Alligator mississippiensis: one gene and its partners. The main gene of each other region encodes a partner of the protein of the gene in region 2 in a complex. Links are inferred from orthologs where the notes say so. Each region holds a gene or a part of one and is shown on either strand. Other genes may lie near its edges.

The links.
Region 1: the proteins of UBE2F (region 2) and UBA3 are in contact, whole or in part, in a crystal structure (PDB 3FN1), measured with the Homo sapiens proteins. The link is inferred for Alligator mississippiensis from reciprocal best matches to the Homo sapiens genes UBE2F and UBA3. Residues at the interface, in NP_001265234.1 of Homo sapiens: Thr27, Arg28, Arg29, Val30, Asp34, Lys35, Val38, Lys39, Val41, Ala42, Glu45, Val54, His55, Phe56, Pro57, Asp58, Pro59, Asn60, Leu62; in NP_003959.3 of Homo sapiens: Ala401, Thr403, Thr405, Leu406, Glu407, Gly408, Asn410, Arg411, Thr412, Ser417, Val418, Thr419, Ser420, Ile421, Arg424, Thr425, Gln442, Glu443, Ala445, Ala447, Asp448, Val449, Thr451, Pro452, Gln453, Thr454, Leu456.
Region 3: the proteins of UBE2F (region 2) and DCUN1D3 are in contact, whole or in part, in a crystal structure (PDB 4GBA), measured with the Homo sapiens proteins. The link is inferred for Alligator mississippiensis from reciprocal best matches to the Homo sapiens genes UBE2F and DCUN1D3. Residues at the interface, in NP_001265234.1 of Homo sapiens: Leu2, Thr3, Leu4, Lys7, Leu8; in NP_775746.1 of Homo sapiens: Glu108, Glu109, Glu112, Pro122, Thr123, Glu124, Met139, Cys140, Glu194, Ile204, Ala207, Leu208.

What each region holds. Positions count from the first base shown.
Region 1 is NC_081835.1:6,056,479-6,063,896, forward strand, and holds the start of UBA3 (NEDD8-activating enzyme E1 catalytic subunit), read right to left. Parts: upstream 3,005-7,418; 5' UTR 2,939-3,004; coding exon 2,919-2,938; intron 2,822-2,918; coding exon 2,780-2,821; intron 1-2,779. UniProt on the Homo sapiens protein: Catalytic subunit of the dimeric UBA3-NAE1 E1 enzyme. E1 activates NEDD8 by first adenylating its C-terminal glycine residue with ATP, thereafter linking this residue to the side chain of the catalytic cysteine, yielding a NEDD8-UBA3 thioester and free AMP.
Region 2 is NC_081827.1:187,282,689-187,289,888, forward strand, and holds the start of UBE2F (NEDD8-conjugating enzyme UBE2F), read right to left. Parts: upstream 3,011-7,200; 5' UTR 2,844-3,010; intron 1-2,843. UniProt on the Homo sapiens protein: Accepts the ubiquitin-like protein NEDD8 from the UBA3-NAE1 E1 complex and catalyzes its covalent attachment to other proteins. Together with the E3 ubiquitin ligase RNF7/RBX2, specifically neddylates cullin-5 (CUL5).
Region 3 is NC_081836.1:46,087,513-46,094,818, forward strand, and holds the start of DCUN1D3 (DCN1-like protein 3), read right to left. Parts: upstream 3,005-7,306; 5' UTR 2,915-3,004; intron 2,871-2,914; exon of another isoform or gene 2,773-2,870; intron 1,854-2,772; exon of another isoform or gene 1,397-1,853; intron 1-1,396. UniProt on the Homo sapiens protein: Contributes to the neddylation of all cullins by transferring NEDD8 from N-terminally acetylated NEDD8-conjugating E2s enzyme to different cullin C-terminal domain-RBX complexes and may play a role in the cell cycle progression by regulating the SCF ubiquitin E3 ligase complex, after UV damage.

The DNA.
Region 1 (7,418 bases), on a different chromosome or scaffold from region 2:
TAAAAGTTCCTTAATTAACCAGGTGTCATTTTAATTAGCCCATTGGCTTGTTACCCACAACATTTTCCAAGATAGAAAATCTGAATTTCTGAAGTATTTATATTTTTAAATCAAGATATTTAGAGTATAGCATTTCCCCCATATTTTGATGCTCAGGTTTTCAGAAATTTAGAATGGTAAGATAAACTGATCTCAATACATTTCAAAATTCCTTACTGGAATACTTCAGAACCAACATTTTCATTTCAGCTTCCTTTTTTAATTTTAAATCTCCAGATTGTAATGCTTCCTCTAAACCAGTCTACATAAGAGTAATGAAGTCCTGCCCCAAAACAGCACATTTCCCATTTTTAAATCTAATTCAATTATATAATTACTGCTCCGTGTTACTAGGATTCTGTACAAATTATAAAATAGCTTTGTCAGTTTGAGCATGCATGCTCAACCTTGTCATAAATAAAGAATGCATTTTTTTTCTTACTACAAGCGTTCCTCATATTTCTCATACATATTGAGAGCTTGGTTCAATAATGGTGCGGATTTACCATCTTTGCCCTCACAACAAAATTAAATGGTGCAAGATGGTGTGCAGCCTTTTCTTTCTACCTAAAATTTAAAAGATGGACAATAGGATCAGTCCAACGTGGTTTTAATTCATGTACAAAGCATAACTTTATATATAAAAAAAAGAGTAATTAGGAAATAACAACTTGCAGGAAAGAAATGTTCCAATATTTCACATCTAGGTAACATTTTGACAGGCTGCCAAAATCACCCTTGGCTGGCTTCTAACTTTAGTTGAGCTACTCTAGTTATTAATTTATAAAGAGCGTACTACAGCAGTCTCTCTTAGTTCACACTGAATCTTGCAATTGGTTCTCCACACATGCAAGTTACAGTTCAGAAATATTCTTAACTTGTTTTTATTTGAACCATAAACTTCAATCTGTATTCTGTCATCTATAGTTTGAAATCTCTGTTGGAAATGAGTGCATACCTGTGCTCAGTGGCATTAAAAATTACTTTTCTCTTTCTTGTGTAGTGTCAGTGAATACAGCCACTGCCTAGCTCTGAAGGGTGCATGTCTCTTATTTTAGCATTAAACTTGGGTAGTAACATTTGGTTCCAATTTGTGATTTTAATTCAGTTTAGTCTCAGGAAGAGCTAAACATTTTAAAGGTAGGTCAACTCTCAGTCATTTGATTTGTGACTTAAAAATTTGCTTTCAAGGGGGTTTGTAAAGTTTTCACTATTGCAATATTAGGGCATTAACAAGTCTCTTGCATGTAAGAGCTCCAGTCAAAATTTTACAAGGTGTGCAACCGAAAGCTGCTTTCAATTATCACAGTTTTTGCATTGGCTCACACCCTTGCACTCTTTCCTTCCCTGTTCCCAAAGCTCATGCTTTTGAGGGTCTGTCACCAGCATGCACCCACACAATGCAACATGCCCAAGGGCACTTGTGACCCCCAGGGCACCCTGCACAGGCCCATGCACTCACTATCTGTGGATCTCCCTGCCGCCCCCTTCCCTTTGGGGAGGGGGGTCACAAGCAGGTGGAAGGGGGCAGGGGTTCCCACACTGGCTTTTGGGGGGAGCTAGGTTAGGTGCACAGAATACAGAGTTGAATAAGCAGGAGCTCTTCTGTAGCCTAAAGCTCACAAGCCAAACAGCAAGCTGCTCCTAACTTGCATACCTTCCCCTACCCAGCCTCTCCTGCTCCTGTCTGAGCTCCCCAGCACTGCCAGCCTGCACTCACGCCAAGCCCCAGCGCCCCCCTCAAGGTGAGCCCTTCCCCAGCCCCAGCTGCTCAAGCTACATTTAGCTCCCATGCTGCCCAGCAGCAGCTTCCCCAGCCTCCAGGAACCAAGTGGCACCCGCTCCTGCAGCCCTGCCTACCCCAGAGCCACCTGCAAGCTGCTTCCCTGCTCAGCCCCGGCCCTGCTCCCAACCCCTGCTCTGACCCACCTGCCGTAGCCCCAGATACATCAGGGCTAAGGGGGTCGGGGCAGCTGTATCTGGGGCAACAGTGTCAGGTCAGGGCTTGGGGGTGGGGGCAGTTGTAACCCACCTGCCCTGCCCCCCTGCCCCGACCTGAAACCAGCTCCAGCTGCTAACTCTCTCCCCCCCCACCCCGCTCTAACCTTGATATAGCTGCCCCCATAGCCCTCCTCAGACCCACCTGCCCTGCCCCCCAGCTTCAGCTGCCAAGAGCCCCCCAACCTAATACAGCTGCCCTACCCCTCCATAGCCCACCTCCTCTACCCTCAACACAGCCCAGACCCGCCCCCCGAAACCCACCTCCTCTACCCCCCCCGGGCACAGCCCCCCCACAAGACCCACCTCCTCTACCCCCCAACACATCCCGGACCCCACCGCCCTGCCCTGCCCCGTCTCCCCGCTGCTGCCGCCACCCTGCCCCGCAGCCCTGCCGGGTCCCTAAAGAGGACACCAAGCTCCGCACGAAAGAAACGATCCCACGCTGCAAAAAAAAATAATTAAATTAAATAAACGATGCCGCCCGGCCTGCTTTTTATCCCCTGGGTAGGTCTCGCAGCCAGTGGCGGGGGAGCGGGGCCAGGATGCGTTTCGGGGCCCCCTGGGTTTTGCATCATAAATGCACCACTCATTTTCGTGCTCTGTGTGTGTGTGTGTGTGTGTGTGTCCCATCCCGTGCACCTGGCAACGCTGCTCCCCCCTCCCCCCCCGGCCTGCCCCAGCCCCTCAGCCCGGCCTCCCCGGCTCTGCTCTGCTGCCCGGCCCGCAGCCCCGCACTAACCCATCCGCCAGCAGCTCCTCTATCCTCCTTCTTTTCTTCTCCCTAAAAAGAGAGAGAATAAAAGAAGGGTCAGTCCCGCGCTGCAGAGCCCGGGGCCCACCCGGCCGGGGAGCGGGGGACGGGCCCGCCCGGTACTTACGGCTCCGCGCCATCCGCCATTGCTCCCGCTCTCCGCACTCGCCGGGCGCCGCGCGGGTAGAGCGCCACCTCGGAGCATCGAGTCTACGGAGGACAGAGAGGCCCGCTCGGGGGTGGGTGGGGCGGGCTGACTGGGGGGGTCCGCCAATCGCCTTAGCAACAGGGTCACGTCACAGCCGCTGTGAGCAGGCGTCGCAGAGCAGTGCGCAGGCGCCGCAGAGCAGTACCCCTTCAGGGCAGGCAGGGGGCAGGCGCGTGCGCGGAGCCTGGTCCCTAGTGCGGCGCGCAGAGCGTGGAGCCTTGCAATGCACAGCGCAGGGCCCGCGGAGTGCGTAGGGCCCATCGCCTACAGCATACAGTCCCAGCACAAAAAAAGGTTGAGCACCACTGCTCTGGAGTGTAGGACTCATCATCTGGAGCGTACGACCCATAATATGGAGTGTAGGACCCATAATCTGGAGTGTGGGACCCATAATCTGGATCGTACGGCCCAGCATCTGGAGCGTACGGCCCATAATATGGATCGTAGGGACCATAATCTGGAATGTATGACCCATAATGGAGTGTAGGACCCATAATATGGAGTGTAGGAACCATAATCTGGGTCGTAGGAACCATAATCTGGATTGTACGACCCATAATCTGGAGTGTACGACCCATAATCTGGAGTGTACGACCCATAATATGAAGTGTACAACCTATAATATGGAGTGTACGACCCATAATCTGGAGCGTACGACCCATAATCTGGAGCGTACGACCCATAATATGTATCGTAGGACCCACAATCTGGAGCGTAGGACCCATAATATGGAGTGTAGGACCCATAATCTGGAGTGTAGAACCCATAATCTGGAGCGTACGACCCATAATCTGGAGTGTAGGACCCATAATCTGGAGTGTAGGACCCATCATCTGGAGCGCACGACCCATAATCTGGAGCGTAGAATGCTACAAATCCTACAGAATACAGGCAGTCCTCCACTGACAACATTTTGATTTATGGTGTTTTGCACTTACCACGTCCCTGTTTCAACTTTGTGATGTCGGTTGTGACTTGGTGACGTTTGCTCTGACGCTGCACCACATTATATCGCCCATCTCCCTGGAGAACATCTGTCCGAACTTCCTTGGACACTTTAAGAAAGCAGACAGGACTCCTGAGAAGACTCCAGCCAAGAACCCTTCAAAAAATCCAACCAAGAGCCTTTCAAAAAGTCCAGCAAAGTCACCTCAAAGAAGTCCTTCCAAATCAATATGATTACTATTTACAATATAAATACACTGATGTAGCTATATTACTCATCTATAATTGATGGAGTTCAAAATTCCTGGTCATTTTTGGTGAAAATAGGGTATCAGGTTTCCATTCAGGAACCAATCCCCCCGTTTATAACATTGTTTCCTATGGGAAAATCAGTTCTGAGTTGCAACGTTTCGATTTAAAATGTGGTTCTCAGGAACCAATTGTGTCCTAAATCTGGGAACTGCCTGTACAGGAAGCAGAAGAATAATGGAAAACAGACACTGACGAGCGCTGGAGGAAGGAGGAAGCTTCCTCAGAGCAGGGATTCCCAAGCAGAGTGCTGCGGCTCCTTGGGGTGCTTTGAGAGCCTTTGAAGGGTGCTGCCGGGTACCCCCCAATGTGAGCCCCTCGATGCATGCAAACATGATTCACGAGATAAACCAGGAGATTTTCCCATAGGTATTCACAGTGTCAAAAAATTGTGGTCTTCCTGTGTTCTTTGCAGCAGAAAAACGTTTTGGATATTTTTCCGTGATCAAAAAACGAGTGCAGATTAAGAGCTGGCATTTTCTAAGGCAGGGCACAAGTTTAATAAGGGGTACCTCACACCTATAAAAAGGTTGTGAGCTGCTACCGTAGACACTGGCAGGAACACAAATAGGCGTGCCCTCCCGCAGACACCAGACATGTCGGGTGCACTTTGCCCCCTGACAGCCTCACCCAGCGAGAGAGAAGTGTCAGCCTTTTGCATATTAATTTACGAAGCAATTGTCATCCAGCCATATGGCAGGCACGAGCCATTTACAATTGTTCACAAGTATTTTTCATGTTATCAGTGCTACCAGTAACTGGCTTTGTGACTGGCACAGATGCATACCCTGCATATCAATTATACTACCAGCATTTCTTCATGCAAGTAGGAGAGGAACCAGCCTTGTGGGTGGAGCAGGGTGGGGAGATGCAGCAGCTAGCTGCCAAGACCTTGACTAAACTGGAAAAGCTTTGCAGATAGAGCGATAATAATGGCAAACCCTCCGGCATAGCTCATAGTTGCCAGTATAATTTATACAACCAGCCCCTCAACAGAAGTTTCAGCAGTATGTCTCTAGTGGGTTATGGAATAGAGAAAATCCCACACAATTTACTGATTCGTTTGATGCACTGGCTGGGGGAGTATTTAGCTACTTGCACGATTTCACAATGATTACACTCTTAATTCATACAACACAATTTTATTTTAAAATTCTTTGCTACACATATAACACTGCTTAGCTTTAAGAAACACCACAAACATTAAGAACACAATAACTACATAGATCAGAAACAATGCTCCAAATGCACTTCTTTCCCAAACAATGCTATAAGAACTAGTATTACAAAAACAACTACGATTACAACTCAAAGTTAAATTTGAATCAATACTATTATTTTTCATAATATACTTACAATCCTAGAATTCCGAGAAGCCTAACACCTAAATATGGTTCCATTCCTCAGTAGTACAATTTAATGGGCTGGCCTCAGTAATACGGTTCAATGGGCTGGCCTCAATACTGATAGGACTAAGTCCCCTTCCTTCAGTCCCTTTCGAGCGCTCCGCAGTGTCAGCGTGAACTAAGAGATTCGTGTTCACGGAGAGGGTGGTTCAGGTGATCGGTCTGATCTGGCCTACACTTGCAATTCTTCCTTTGTTGTTCTGCAAGTGAGGTTACCTCCAAAATGGGACAGCAGGTTACAGTTTTTATTGAGTGAGTTGCCATCTTGGGCCCTTCCTACCCAAACCTGTCACTACTCCCAAATATGGGCTCGGATCTTACTTTACAGATTCTTTTGCTTGGTAATCAGTTTCTTTTGTTGATAATTTTAATTACTTCGGGGAATTTCCTTTCTTTCCAACCTTTTAAAAGGCTCCTAGGGTTTGATTTCTCGGAATGTGGGATGTTTGCTTAAGGGTTATTTTTAGGTTAACTTTGTTAAAGACCTCTAAAGACAAAATTCAAGAGTTAAGACTTTGAGCAAAGTCAGGACCTTCCGCACGTGGACCAAAACAATGGCCTAGATAAGAAGATGAATCTTGTCTTCTTCCTAAACTGGCTAATGGGCAACTATTACAAACATTCAAATATTACATTCAGTATGACACAGTAAAAGGGCTTTTTTTTTAACCAGCTTAACTCTTCTTGCACTAGAGCTTTTGCCAATACAGCTATGGATGTTGGAGACAGTTTTTCACACTCCTACCAACCAGTGGCAAAGCTTGGAAGCATACACCCAGCTGCAATCTCTGAAGTGAAACCAGCTGGAACTCTCCAGGATGGATTGTTTCTCAAGCGGCATTTGAGAAGTATCTAGTCCTGCCAGCTTAATGAAACGCTAGGGCCCAACATATCAAAGATCAACGTATGGAGATTTTGGTGTGTTTCATTGTTAGTATATTTGACATGTTTGTAACTGGAAAGCTGAAAAATGGAGAAGAGTGAAATCAGAACTGCAATCAAATACCTCTATAAGAAGAGATCAAATATGTGGAGTCAACTGTCAAAACAGACCTTTTTGTGGGCACCGGTTGTTTGCAGACATGTAATAAAGTGCTATTTAAACCTCACTTTTAAACCCAGAGTATTGTTTTTTAATTGCAGTTCATATTTTAGTTATTTTTCAAATGTAATTTTACTCCTGGTAGACAACATAACAGTGCTTGAAGCAGGATCTGGAACTCAGAACTCCCCTCTTCTTTGAATCTCCCCAGACAGAAGAGAGTGTAAAATCTGGATGTCCTCCCTATGTGAGTACTGAAATCACCGATCAGAGGGGAGTGCCGGCAGCCCTGTCTCTAGCTGTGGGGTTTTTTTTTTTAAGTAGCATTTTGTACACTGCACGAGCTGCGAGGTGAGCTCTGAGAAACCTCCCCGATCCAGACCTTCAGGCAGAGGAACACCTTGTTTATGGGTCATGATGAGCCCTAAGCCTGAGCTAGGCATGGACCCGTTCAGTCCTGGTGCTTTGCACGTGCACAGAAGTGCAATGTGAACTGATTAAAAGTGAAGCACCTATAGGAGTTTGGGCCTGTCGAGGATTAAGCAGCAGCTGAGTTGACGGGTTGAGGGTCTTAATTTAGGAATTAGGGAGTTGAAACCCACCATAGTCCAATTAAACCCTTTTGTGGTCTTGGGCCTTAAGTGGTGGCTGATCAGCGGTGTTACATTAGGGCCGCTCTTACGGCTTCACTGCATTTATGGCAAGATTGCGCCCACT
Region 2 (7,200 bases):
AATAATTACATAAAGTATTTTGAGTTCCAGATAAATGAGAGTTCAGTGGTATCCATAGCATGCTACTCAGTGGCAGTAAAAGCCACTTGATAAAGCCACTAAGAAAATGTTATTTTGCAAGACGACAAATGACTGCACCCAATAAAAGCCATTAATGTTTTAGGACATGAGGTTAAGCACCGAACGGAATATTTAAAGTTGGGTTGAGACAAGTCCAGGTGTAAATATGGAGTGAACTGGCTTACAGTGCATCAGGTTCTAGCATAGAATCAATTACAGCAGAGAAATTTCAGTAAGTTTCACTCTGCTATCAAGGAAATTTCTTTCTATTTCTTTCTTAGCTAAACATACCACTTCCTGAACTTGTTATTTCTATAGAATTTCAATAAAGGAGCCCATCCAAGCAATCAGAGAACCTTTAAGAAGTTGCAAATATGAAAAGACCATGCATATCCGTAGAGAACAAGGTACAGACATCAAAAGCTGTATTCAGAAACAACTTTCTCCCAACAGTTCTGGCCACACAGAACATCAGGGAAGGGGGATACCATGGAATAGGAAGAGGTAACACAAAAATCTCCGGTCCTGAGGCAGCTTTGACAATTACCAGCATCTACAGTGAACAGAGATACCATTCTCTGTTAGGTGCTCCTTATCATTATCACAGTAAATACCTAGACAGGTACTCAAAGAGAGGCTCAAAGACGGAAGTGATATTTTGTTATAGCAGTCCTCCCTGATACCAACTAAGAAAGAGTTGCCCAGTAAGTCACTATCCAACCCCCCCTGCATAAAGTAATTTATTACATTAATAGGCAGCATACAAAGATCAGTGCTTGAAAATGCCAAAAAGCAAAGCCAGAACACACTGATAAAAAAACAACCTGATTGTAGATAATTGTTTTTTGCCAGCAGTTATGCCACCAAAAGGAATGGAAAAGCCAAGACATTGAGGCCTTACTATTCTTGGAGGGGAGGAGAGGGTTCATTCTTAAGCTGCCATATATGAATTAACTAAATTAAGGTAGAGGAGAAAAAAAAAACCCCAAGCCAGGACAGCTTGGGTCTTTACACAAGTTGTCAAGTTGAATAAAAAGCTACAGAAAAGCAGGAAGAGGCAGAATTACATATGGCCTTTAAAATATTCCATAGAAGTATGAATTTAGAGTGGAAAACAGAAAGCCAACTGAGGAGTTTATAGGTAGGGTGATGTAATCAGAACCAAAAAATAAATAAATAAATCAATGCAGTGGGAACACCATGGAGGCCAATCTGAGACGTGAAATGAAGAATCTGGTAGAACACTCTGCACATGGATGCTCCTTTCTTGCAAGCAGTTCACAAAACTGAACTTTATCAGATCCCTGTATCAGCAGCTTTTTCACCCTCTTATCACACTCATTCATACCACAAAATAAAAAGCCACTGGGGAAAAAATTTTAGCCCTGCCAATTTGGCCAAGTCCACTGTAAAATCTGAAAGCAGCAATGTGGTTCCAGACTGGGATTTACATGCCTAACTTGAGAAGAACCTGAAAGTGCTGGTGCATTTAGTAAAGGAGCATACAAAATTAAATGAAAATATTCAGAACAAAACTCAAAAAACAACATGGCAAAGACGTGCACCAGTAAGGTCATCTTAAAAGGAAAACAGTTTTCACAGTATCAGCTGGCATGCTGTACTGATAAGAAATGCAAGAAGGTTGAAAGCACCAAGACAGACAGCATCTGGTATTAGGCTACTGACTCAGACTAGACAAAGCCATGTATCCAAGGGCAAATATAAATTTAATTAAGGCAAAGTGAGGCAGGGCAGAATGAAAATTCACTGGTTCCCTCTCTGGAACAGAGGAAGGGACAGAAAATAGTCCAGGCAGCTGTGCTCCTTCAATGCAGAAAGGGGGAAGAGAAACAAGCTTGGCAGAGGTTCTACTTTTAAGGGGAGTGGGATAGAAGACCAGATAAGCTGGGGCACGTAGGCCTGGTCTTACAAGGCCCTCGTTTCAAAGCTCAGCTTCCAAATGCTGTAATTTCAATGGGAGTTATACACCTAAACACCACTGTGGACCTGGCTCCTGCTGCTTTGCACCAAAGCACAAGAGCACAGCAGAAGGCCCCTCACAGGGAGGAGTCACATCTACCAGCAAAGATACATAGGTAACCACACTAGTCTGAAGTCAGGCAGAAGGCAAAGGAGAGATGCACCTTATGGATTAACTCAGTGGTGCTCTGATTTTTGGCCCCAAGGGCCAGATGAGGGCTGACCCATGAGCCAGACCAAGCCTGACACAGGGCCGGGTCCTCTGCACCTGGATAGGGTCTGAGCCCCACGCGTGGGGATCTGCTCCTGGCATCCTGCCCCCCTTGCCAGCCCCAAGAGCCCAGTGTGGCAGCAGGGGAGCAGCAACTCCAAGTTCCCAAAGCAGGGGGGGGGGGGGCCTGTGAGCCAAATGATGCAGTGCAGGGGGCAGCTGCTGGACCAAGCCGACCAGAGGCAGGAGTGTTTGTGCTCTCCTGCCTCCTTGGTGGCGCCTGCCAAGGTGCTGAAGCAGAGCGGAGGTCTGTGCGAGCGCCCGACCCAGGGGCAGGGAGTGCCCGGGGTCCCTGGGGGGGGCGAGGCGAGAGCCCAGAGCCGCCCTGGAGAGGGAGGGGGCCGGAGGGGCGCGGAACAGAGACGGGAGCCCCCGGGAGGGGCAACGCGGGGCCCCCGACCCGGCTGGTCCCAGGGTTGTGGCCTCCCGCCGGCCCCGCCTCGGCCCGCCCGCTAGCACCGCGGGGGTGGGGGGGGGCCCCGAGCCGGAGCAGCAAGGGAGCGCAGCTGACGGCGGGCCGGGCCGCGCTCACCTGGCCGCCGCCGCCTCAGGTCCCGGCTCCCGCCGCAGCGGCCAACACCATCCCCGCGAGGCCCGAGCCGGGAACGGGCCGCGGCCTCCTCCTCCTTCCTCCGCGGCTGCAGAGCCGGAAGTGGGGGGCGGGGCCGGGGCGACGCCGCCGGATTCAGTGTTTGCAACAAGAACTTTATCAGCACGGCGCGGCGGCGCGCACACGACGGTCTCCAGGCACAGCGGACGGGAAGGGGCGAGTCTTGTCCCGTGCTGCGATCTTGCGTGACCGGCCAACACTTTCCCCGTGCTTTTCCCTCACGGGCGGGGGGCGCTGGGAGCTGGTGCTATTTAAAGGAGCAGCGCAGGGCGGCGCCTTCTGCCGAGTCACCGTGACTCTGCGTTGCCGGGCTTCGGGCGGGTGGCTGGGCGCACTGGGCTGTCTGGCTACCCTCGCCCGCGCGGGCCTCTCGCCCTCCCGCTGCTGCAGGGCTCGGGACAGGGATGCACGCACGTGAACACTCTCCCTTTTGGGGAAGAGCAAAACCCCATGGGCTGGCTCGGCTGAATCAGGAAGGCAGCTGCCTCCCCCAGCGCTGCCCCAATGGAAAGGCCGCTGCTTCTCCCGGCCGTCGGTTCCATAGTTTGGATGGGGCAGGAATCGGAAGTCGGGGGGGTGCAGCTGCACCACTGTCCTCCCGCCGGACCCACCCCAGCTACAGCCTTCTGCTTGGGCTTCTGACACCGTGCGCAGCCCGCGGGCCCTGACCGGCAGCTCCCGCAGGCTCCTTGTGTTTTGTGCTCCCCGGCCCACTCCCACTCTTGTTTTATTCACAGACTGCAGTGAACAAAAACTGCAGACATGCAACAAAATTGGCCATTAAAGTGGCTTAATTGTCCTTTTGCACCGCTTTAATGGCATTGCTATTTACATATTCAGCAGTGTATTCTGCTTTAATGGTGTTGCTATTTACACGTTCAGAGGTGTATTTTGCTTTAAATAACCCCTTGGAGGTACTTTAGTTTGCTACAGAACAAAATGCAACAGGGTGCTAGAAGCCAATGTACTTGGGCTTGGGCTTCCAGTGCCTCATGGCACCAATCCCACCACCTTCACCCACCTCCAGCACACCCAGCCACTCTCCTGCCACCTTGCTGTACTGCCCCAGGGGCAAGCTAGCCATTCCTGGGAAGTCCCAGGCAGCGGGAAGGTGGAAGGGATGGTACACAGGGCGCTGGAGCCTACTTGCCTCTCCCATAGTGGGTGGAGAGGGGGTGGCAAGCAGTCCCTGAGCTGCAGGGGACTCCAGTCCTTCCCTCCATGATAGCAGCATCTTCTAGGTGGCCCCTGCCCACTAGCACCCAGCCCAACAGAGAAAAAAAAAAAGAGCCTGCCTGCCTGAGCTGAGTGGGATCTGGTGCTGCCCTCCATGGTGGCAGCACCGCCCAGGCAGCACCTGCCTGCTAGCAGCTCACCCAGGTGGTCCCATGGGATGCCACTGCTGCAGAGGGAAGCATGGGGCCCTGCACAGCTCAGGCAGGTAGACTGGGGAAAAAAAGATCAGGCTCCTTGCCACTTTTTTTTATCCCTTCAGTTGAGCCTGCCTGCATAAGCTACCGCTGGGTCACACAACCCCCAAGATGTGTGGGTCCTGGTCCTTCCCTCCACGGTGGCGTCACCCCCCAGGTGCTAGCAGGCAGGTGCTGCCTGCAGGGCGCCCTGCAGGGAAGGGAGGGAAGGGCCAGGTTCCCCTGCAGCTCAAGGACTGCTTGGCCGGTTGCCGGCAGCTCGTCCCTCCGCCCCGCCGCAGGAGGCAGGAAAAAAAAAGGATCAGGCCCCCTCACCCTTGTACACATGGCTGAGGTTTTGTTCTCCCTAAATTAAAATGGTGGGTTTTTAAATGACACAATTAAAAACCCATTGTTTCAATTTAGGGAGAACGAAACCCCCGTCACCTGTACAAGCACCCCAGGCTACTAGGTCGGATTGGTGTTATATTCCTGGTGAGTGCCTGGTGAATGGGGCTCTGATCCTCAGCTGGCATTGGGAGGGGTGACCAGATGATAAATAAAAACTCTCTTCTTTCCTGGTAAATTGCAGGCTCTCCATCAGGACTCCTGAATAGTGTCTAGAGAACTGGAATAGAGCCATGCTATCTGGAGAATGTAGCCTATCCTTGTGAGAAAGAAGCCCTGGTGATAATTACATTCAACTCCCAGGTAGTTGTGTGAAACTGGAAGGAAGTGGTAATGGAAATGGAAATGGAGGTGTTTTGTGATGGAAGAATAAATTGATGCTGCCACAAAATTCAGCAGTTACTGTAACAGCATTTTTCCCAGCATGTATGGGACCGAATGGATTCCTGATAGATCTAGATCGCCCCTGGTTCAAGGGCTTTGAGATCTCTGGCTGAGCCACCTTAGAACTGGCCAAATAAACTGAATTGCACCATTTAGTAAACTGAATTTGTCATTCACTTGATCTATTCTCTTTTTCCCCCTACTTCCTCATTGCATAAGCATAATTTACTGTCAACAGTAAAAACAAAAGGCCCTAATACTCCCATCAGGAGCTACTTGTGCCAACTGTCATACAAATCCAAATAAGCATGTTTTTAAGAAGTGTCTGAACAAGCTAGATTGAGGGAAGAAGAAAGCACTGTTGCTCTCATTTTATAGATGAAGAATGGAAGAAAAAAAAAGATTAGGTGACATGCTAAAATTCAGTGAAGAACTCCGTGTCACAACTGAGAATCAAACCCCGGTCTCCTATGTTCAGTACAAGTTTTTTAGAGCTGTTGATAAAACTGGTGTTTTTATTGTGAGAAATTGAGCAAAGTATTTTCATTTGAACATTTTCAGTTGAAAAAGATCTACTATAGTTACTCATTTGCCCAGAAGAATTGAATCAAGATGAGACAAAGTACCATTTAAAGTTGATATTTGGAGAATAAAAGGAAATTGTTTTTACTTCTCCTCCAGGAAGAGAGCTAACATTTTTAGGTAGATTAGACATTTTCTGTATGAAGAAAATCAGCATTCATTAATCTATTTTTCAGGACAGAGAGAAATTTCAGCACAGAATATTGTAACTAGCTCTAGTATTTTGTTGTAACCTTTTAAATCAAAACAAAAATCCCATCAGTCAAAAGCAGTAACCACAGACTAAGACAGCACTTCATGCCACCCCACCCCTTGATGCTGATTGGCGGAGAGTTCCTGGCAGGGGATGGAAAGGACAAGGGGGCACCCATCATCTTGTCTGCTGCCTTTTGTACCACACCACCACGAGCTAGCAGCTTCCCTTCTCTGCCTGCACAAAATGTTTACGGTGGAGTAGACTACTTAGCTACACAGTAAATGTTGAACATCTACACGTGTGCCCCTATTAGTCTTGAGTGAACTAACTCTGCAGCAAGGTAGCACTTGTAAATATAAGTACTATCTTGCTGCAAAGTTTTTTACTCTGCAGCGGTGCATGTGCAGACACTATCCCAGCTGCCTGAAGCACAAGGTTGCTTCAGTATGGGGTCTGCCTGCTGGCTAGTAGGGCTGTGCAAAATTTTGCTGCCTGTTTCGATTCAACACTGTTTCAACTCATTCCAAGCTCGAAACAGCTAAATTGAATCGAAACAAAGGGCTTCGAAACAGCCTTGAAAGAAAACGAGGCTAGTTGAAACATTTCAAAAGTTTCAAAACGTTTTGAGTTTCAAAGCACCCAGCAGCCAGGTGGTAGGAGACAGGGACTCCCAACAGCTCCGCAGCCCCATGTGGCTCAGCTGGGCGAGGAACACAGCCCTGGCTCTCCCTACCTCCCTCAGCCGGGCTACAGCTGATCACAGTACAGGGGAAGAGAACTGAGACCCGGCTCAGGGGAGATCAACAGCAAATAGGCAGAGCCCTTTTCTCCCCAGCACCACCTGCAGTGACAAGGAACAGTGGTAATAAGCTGATGGAGAATAGGTTTAGGTTAGAGATCAGAAGACAATATTTTACAGTTAGGGTGGCCAACTTCCCAGGGAAGTGGTCCTCGTCCCTACCAGCTACCTGTTGATTACCTCCAGAAAGCCCTAAGTGGACACTGTCCTATCTGCCTTACACAGCATTAGCTAGCATACCACATGCTGGCTACAGTCTGTGCTATGGGAGAGGGGAGAAAGGGATCTCTGCTTAACAGCAATTTGGGGGGGCGCCACAGGGAAGCCAACAGACCCTGTTGTGCCTGTAATAGGGCTGTGTGAAACTTTGGGTGGTGATTCAATTCAGAAGAGATTCAGCCTGATTCAGCGGCCGAATCTCTGAATCCAAACTGAATCAGGGGACCAATTAAAAGGTCTGAATTGATTCAAAGCTCTACGAATCTTCAGAAAAGATTCAGA
Region 3 (7,306 bases), on a different chromosome or scaffold from region 2:
AGAACTCCAAATAGTATCGTTGGACTGATCTTCAGCTTAAATCTTGGGAACAGGTAAAATGTCCCCTATTCTCTTAAACCTTCAGCTTCTTTCTGCCTTTGGTCTTTTACCTAGCCAACAAAAGTGCATCTCTATAGGATGCAGTAGCAGTAAGCAAGCAACTAACTGAACACCTTTTCTATTTGCACCTCTGACAAGCAGCACCAGAATGAAAGTGACCTTCAGTTTCACTACTACCACAAGGCTCGCAACTACGGTAATGAAACCACCCAATACCTCCCACCAGCAGCAGAAAAACCACCCAATACCTCCCACCAGCAGCAGAAAAACCACCCAGACTACAGCAGTTTGGGATAGCTCTGAGGGGCAGCAGGCATCTTGATAGCATTTGCAGATATGAGAAAAAAGCAACGTACACCAAATTCACACCTGGCTCTCCTCACAGCCAGGAAGGGCTGAATCATTTTCATCTACAAAATAAAAGCCAAGAACATTCCCATCTCTCCCTTATTCCCCTCCCATCCCAACACACAGAACACATTGTGCAGGACTGAGGTCTATCTTTCCCGTGGACACACAAGGGAGATCTCCTTTTTTCATCATCACTGATGCATACACCAGAGGTCATTCTGTGTCCCTTTGTATTACAGGCCAGTGAGATAGTCTGACAGCCTCTCTCCCTGGAACACTCCCTCTTTAAGGAAGCTATTTTCCCCCTCCGTTTACAGAAGTAGCTGCTTTACACCACATGGTCAAGTCTACCCTCTAGTTCTCCTATTGATCTTGTTACTGTCCTTTACGTTTAAATGCTCAGTGCCACAGTCGGCAAGATGCAATTGATAACACCAAAAGTTACTCACACACACCCATCCACCTCCCAAGCTCTTTAAAGCAAGACAGCATGGAATAGGAGACAAATTAAGTAACTACTATGAAAGTCACCAGATGCAGTTCCTGAGATCTACAGGCAAATTACAGATGATATTGAAGGTTTATCAGGTCTCAAGATAAAATGGATTACCAGAACATCAAGCTGAGCTGTCAAAGAATATTAGGGCTGTAAGTACACTCTTAATGATGTAGTAATCTTTAAATAGATTTATGGACAGCAAATTCTATAGCAGCACTAACTGCCATGAAATTATTAGAATTTAGAAGACTTCAACTGAACTTCTTCACAAGTTTCTAACCAGAATTAAATGTACTTTGTCAACAAGGATCTAACAATCTGCTTTTCTACACCTTCCTCTCACCTATGAAAATACTTTGTTTCAAACCTCAAGTTGTCTTTTGTTTAGGGAGCTGTAAAAGCTCTTCACAGACAATTAAACACCCTGTGAAATAAGTAACTGTCCATTTAAGATGAGGCAAAGCAAGGTAGAGCCAAGAACAGAACCTGTCTCATGGTTCCCAGTCTTCATTTTAGTCAAAAGACCTTCCTTCCTCTCCCAATAAGCACCTCACAGTAGCACCTGGAAAACAAGCAGAAAGGCTGCAGCAAAGACTTTATGACAATGTAGAATCAAAAACACACAAAAGATTGTTTCTTTTCACAGCTAGCCCAAAATCCAATACCAAAAACCTAGTGGTCACTTATTAACTTAATTAGATACGGGAAGGTTCTCAGTCAAATATGGGAAGCCTGCATTAGACAAGATACCTTCAGCTTGTGCTTAGCAATTTTTTCTCCCCAAACTTGGGGAATGAATAAGGAAGACAGAATGAAACTGACACTGAAAGATCGATCACAAGTCTTTCGGGACTCCTCAGAAAACACAACAGTGGCATAGCGTGAAGTTCTTCTGCAAGACAAGTGTGGAGTATCGGAACTTGATATTCAGAAACAAACTATCAAGATTATAAAATAAATAAATACATAAGCCTGCACTCCCACCGCAACTTAAAGAAGGAATGATTTAAACAAGTATTGGGGAAGAAGTGGCTCCCCATGGAAATCCAGGGCACGAGCATTGTGTCCAGAGCATCAGGAGGCTCAGCTATACGACAAGACTCAGCCTCCCACCCTACCCTGCCCTCTCACAGCCGCAGCAGGAAAGAAACGTGCTTCCCAAGAAACATTTACTCAAGGCCAGACACAGGCATCAGCAAACCGGGCAGCTGCCCAGGGCCCAGACAGAAGGGAGGCTTGAAAGTGGTGAAAATAATCATTATCATCATTATTATCTGTGGCAAAGGGGAGCCCAATACTAAAAATTTGCCCAGAGCCGCCAGGAGTCTAGGCACGGTGCTGCACTTACTACAAATGCCTAGTCCGGCCGCGCTCTCAGCCAGGTCCGTAAGCCCACAAGATGGGGTGGGGGTGCACCCCGAGGCTCCCATTAAAGCCCTCGCAGGCCGGGAAGGGAGCCCACAGCGCTGGCGGCCACAGAAGCAAGTTTGAGGACAAGCAGCAACTTCACGCCCCGGGCGCGAGCGAGGGACACGAGGGGCACGGACACGCGCGGGGATCCTGGCAGCCAGGAGAGCAGAGCCCGCGCCAGGACCCCCGAGGGATCCTGACGAGGCCAGGCCGGCACGGGGCACCCCGGCGGGGACCGCATCACCCCCCGGGGCCCTGGCAGCAGCTCTGGGGTAGGCGCCCTCCGGGGTCGGGGAGCGTGGGGGAGGAGGGGGTGCAGCCGGGGGCGCCAGAGAGAAGGGGGCCGTGCGGGGTCGCAGGGCGGGCGGCCCCGGCCCCGAGGGGGGACAGCGCCCCGGGCCCTAACGGGAGATCTCCCCTCCACCCCCGCCCCGGCTCCTCCACACACGCACAAGCTACTCGAGCGCCCGGGCCGGGCTCTCCAGGACGACTCCGGTGCCTCAGGCCCCCGGGGTCGGGGCGCCTCCCGGCCCGGCCCCCCACAGGCAGCGCCCCCTGAAGCGGACGGGAAGAGACACGGTCCAATTCACTCACCCTCCGCGGCTCCCAGCGATACTCCAGCTTGCCTTCCCCCCTCCCTCCCTGCCTCTGCATCACTTCCGGGGATGAGGAGTCAGCTGGCGGCGCGCGGCGGTGTGACGCCGGGGAGCGTGCAGACGTCCCTGACGCCACACGTACAGCGAGGGCAGGAAAAGGGCAGACAACCACCGCCGGCTGTGGTAGGGGGAACCGGGCTTGGCCGGGCCGAACCACTGCTCAAGGAAGGGGGGGAACGTGAAAGAGGGTTACATCGCGCTTGATCCTGGAGGTAAAGTGGGAGAAGGGAAGGAGAGACACCCAGTGGGTGCTGAGCAGCAGTGAGAAAGGGCAAAATGAGAGATGGGGGGGACGCGCGGGAACACTCCCCCTCCCCATCCGCGCACGTTGGTAGCGGCCCGCCCGGGAGAGCCTTTCGCTAGGCTGCCCGGGCATCTGGCGCGTGGGGCTGGACATGCGCAGAGTGGGCGCTCGACGTCGCCAGGCCCCCACGGTCGGGCTCGGTTGGGTCTGCTTGTAGCTCCCCGCTCACGGCACGAAAAGCCATGGGGGGCGGCGGGCAGACAACCGTGGAGACACCGACTTGCCGTGTTTAGACTGAACCAAAGTGAAATCCACGTGGCCTTTTCCTGTGACCCTGTCCGAAACAAAACACCGCCCCTGCCCTGCAACACGTAAGTGGGTTCGTGCTCTGCTACCGGGTCCCGGCCCTCCGCCAAGTACAAGCAGTAACAAGCCCGAGGCGGAATCGATTCAGTCTGCACAACTTAGACTGTGTACGCGGCACCGATAAGCAACTGAACAGACGTTAACTGTTGACTCTGGGAACGCCTGCAGTGGCCGGGCGGGGGCGGGGGGGCACTGCAGCGCACCGCCCGGGAGCAGACCGCGCTGAGCCTGCCCACCCTGAGACGGGGAACTGGCTTGCAAGGTATGCTGGGGTCAGTGTTGCCAGATGTAGCGTAATTATCGTATTTGTACAATACTTTCAACCCTTGTAAGACAGATAATACTAAAAATGTTCAAAAGTCTATCACAATTGAGGCAGTTAATTGAGGCAGCATGTGCAAAACCCGGGTCACTCTCAGGGGGTCTTAACCAGCTTAAGAGTCTGGGTTACCAGAGTGTGGAACGTGCTCCCAAGGGAGGCGGTGCTCTCCCCTACCCCGGGGGGCTTTAAGAGGAGACTGGACAAGTACCTGGCTGGGGTCATCTGACCCGGGGGCAAGGGGGCGGACTCGATGATCTTCCCTTCCGACCCTACAAATCTATGAAATCTATTGAACTTTCGGGTTCGCTGTCCGTGCTTTCTTCCAACCACTTGCCTCAAAACAAAGAAACACTTCAAGGTTGATGATGACCCAGTTCTCACTGGTTTTGAATTGGGATTTGACAGGGACTAAAGTGAGGATGAGCAATACTTGCTATTTATCTTTAACTGGAGACTTATGGTGGGTAACTGTATAACGACCATATAACTAAATCTCAATGTGTGATAATACTAAGAGCTTTATTTTAAATGTTACATACAGTCTTAAATCAATAGGAAATTAAAGGGGTTTTGTGCTCGCCTTGTTCGTAAATTGCAGGCGTGTACCCAATACAGTAAGTTGCAAAATAAAGTGTAGAAGATTTACAATACACAGACCTAAACTGCAAAACAAAGAGAAAAGAATAATCATAGTAATACATTCAGTTTAACCAGTCATAGAAAGAGTTCAAACATCATAGTGGGTAGTGTCAAGTACAGTGGCACAAGTGTGGTGATCAGGGATCCTAATTTTCTCTGATTAAAAATTGCAAATACTCTGATTTAAAAACCCAAAATCCGTGATAAAAAATAAAGTCCCCCCCACAACCCCTCCCAGCGCTGCTGGTGCCCCGCACTCCCCACCACGGTCTCCACAGCCCTCCTGATACCCCTCACAGCAGCCCTCCAGACCCACAGACATGCATACACAGACACTGACACCCACCCCAGCAGTGTGTGTGTGTGGGGGGAAGGGGCAGGGCAGGAGAAAGGGAAGGTGCTGGGGGTAGATCAAGAAGGTGGGGAGTGTGCCCCCGTGCCCACTCCCAGGAGCAGGGCCAGGGGGTGAGGGCAAGGGTGCCACTCTGTGGGCCACACACGTGCCGGCAGGCCTGACAGGAGGTTCACCCACTGAGGCCAACACCGCAACTCTGCCACTGCACCCTGCGCTACCATCCCACGGACACCTGCATGGCTTTGTGGGCAGGGGGCGCAGGACGTGGCAGCGGCAGTGCAGTGGCAACCGCCGTGTGCAGGCCGGGGGGTGAAACAGGGGGCTTGCATGCAGCGGCATGCCCCGCAACTGGCTGCACGGCTCCGCAGCAGTGCAGAGTGGTGGCAGCTGCATGCGGGGGGGGGGGGGCGGCTTTGCAGTCAAGTGCTACCACCACAGAGATATGCCCTTCGCCCCTGGATCCTAGAGGTAAATGGGGCTTGGGGGGCTGTGGGAGATGGTTGGGGGCTGAGGGAGTGGGGGGTGCTGCCCAGCCCCAGGCAGCACACCACAGCTGGGAGCAGGGCCAGGGGGTGAGGGCAGGGGTGCCCCTCTGCGGGGGACTTTGCGGGCAAGCAACTTGGGGTGCATTGTGGTGGTACCTGCCATGTGTGGGCCGCACATGCCGCCTGGCCGCCTGCCCAGGGGAGGGGGAGAGGGAGGCTGGCATTCAGCCGGAGCACAGCTCCGTGGCCGGCTCTGCAGCCATGGCAAGGGATGGGGGTAGGGGGGAGGCTTCAGCTCGCACATGGCGCTGTCACTTACCTGGAGCCCTGTGACAGCAATGATGGCTGCTGCCTACAAAACCTCCCGCTGCTGCCGTGGAGCTGTGTGGCTGACGGCAGCGGTGCAGTGCGGGGTGGTGGTGGGGATGGCTGCGTGCCGCCTGGCCACCACCACGCTGCCACTGGGCGGCTGGCCCTCCGGGCATGGCTCCGCAGCAGCAGTGGGAGGTTTTGTAGGCAGCGGCCGTCACAGGCCTCCAGGTAAGCAGCAGCGCCATGTGCAAGCCCAAGCCTCCCCCCATCCCGCCGCACCCCCATCCCTCGCTGTGGCTGCAGAGCTGGCCGTGGAGCTATGCTCCGGCCACATACCAGCCTCCCCCTCCCCTGAGCAGGCAGCCAGGCGGCATGCGTGCGGCCCACACATGGCGGGCACCACCACACTGTGCCCCGCATCGCTTGCCCGCAAAGTCCCCTGCAGAGGAACACCCCTGCCCTCACCTCCTGGCCTGCTCCCAGCTGCGGTGTGCTGCCTGGGGCTGGCAGCACCCCCCCATGCCCTCAATCCCCAACCATCTTCCCCAGCCCTGCCCCAAGCCACACTTACCTCCATGCTCCAGGGGTGAAGGGTAAGTCTGAGCCTGAGCCAAAGGGCTGCCTCAGAGACTCAGGCCCTGCCCTCCCCCTCTCCCTCCCACTCCGACCAGGGCTGGGGGTTTCCCGTCTTTTTTGCAATCAGTTCTTGCAGGCTGGAGCTGCACCAGCCTGCCAGAGCACTTTGCAGAAGCAAAGAATCAGCGGATTTCTCTGCTAAAAAGAGAAATCTGCGTTTTCTCCATTTTCCCGTGGGAAATAGAAAACCTGGATCCCTGGTGATGATAATAACAGTACAAGCCAACGTGACGTCACCTAAAAAGAAAACTTTTTTGCATGCTTATTTGCACACCATTTTTCAGTGTATGATAGTTTTCAGAAAATACGATAATTTGAGCTTCCACTATGATAACTTCATTTTTAAGACCTGGCAACTCTGCCTGGGATGTTGGAGGACTGTGAGTTAACTTGAATCTGGTTGGAATCCGAGACAAGGTCAATACACCAGTTTAACCTAAATCAGTTAAGTCTGATACTACATCCATCGACGTTTTTCTTAAACCCGTTTCAGCCATTCTGAAAGCAGCTTATGTGCATTGAACTTCTGTTGTGTTACAGCTTTGAACCGGTTTCTGATCATTTATACTGGTTTATGTGTAATTTCTGTCCCTAGCTAGGAGACCCCAATGCGTAGCTCAGCTCCAGGAGTGCTATCCAGACTGGATCCAGCCTATATTGGCCAAATCAGAATAACAATTTTAAAAGGATCATTTGTCCTTCACTAGAGAATGACCTACTCTCCATCTATTTATTGGGGTTCAGCTGCAATAGACTGTTATAGTAGCTACTGATCTAGATTATGAAGCATCAGTTTTTGGGTTTTTTCCATGTGTGTGAATAGTTCTGGAAAGCCATTGATAAAATCTAGTTGTTGATTTACTGCTGTTTGAATTGCATGCAGTTGTCTCTAATCAAGGTGTCAGCCAATGTTTAACTCAAGTGAAATGTTAAGTCGTGCAAGCCCTTCCTGTAATGGCAAAATTCCCACC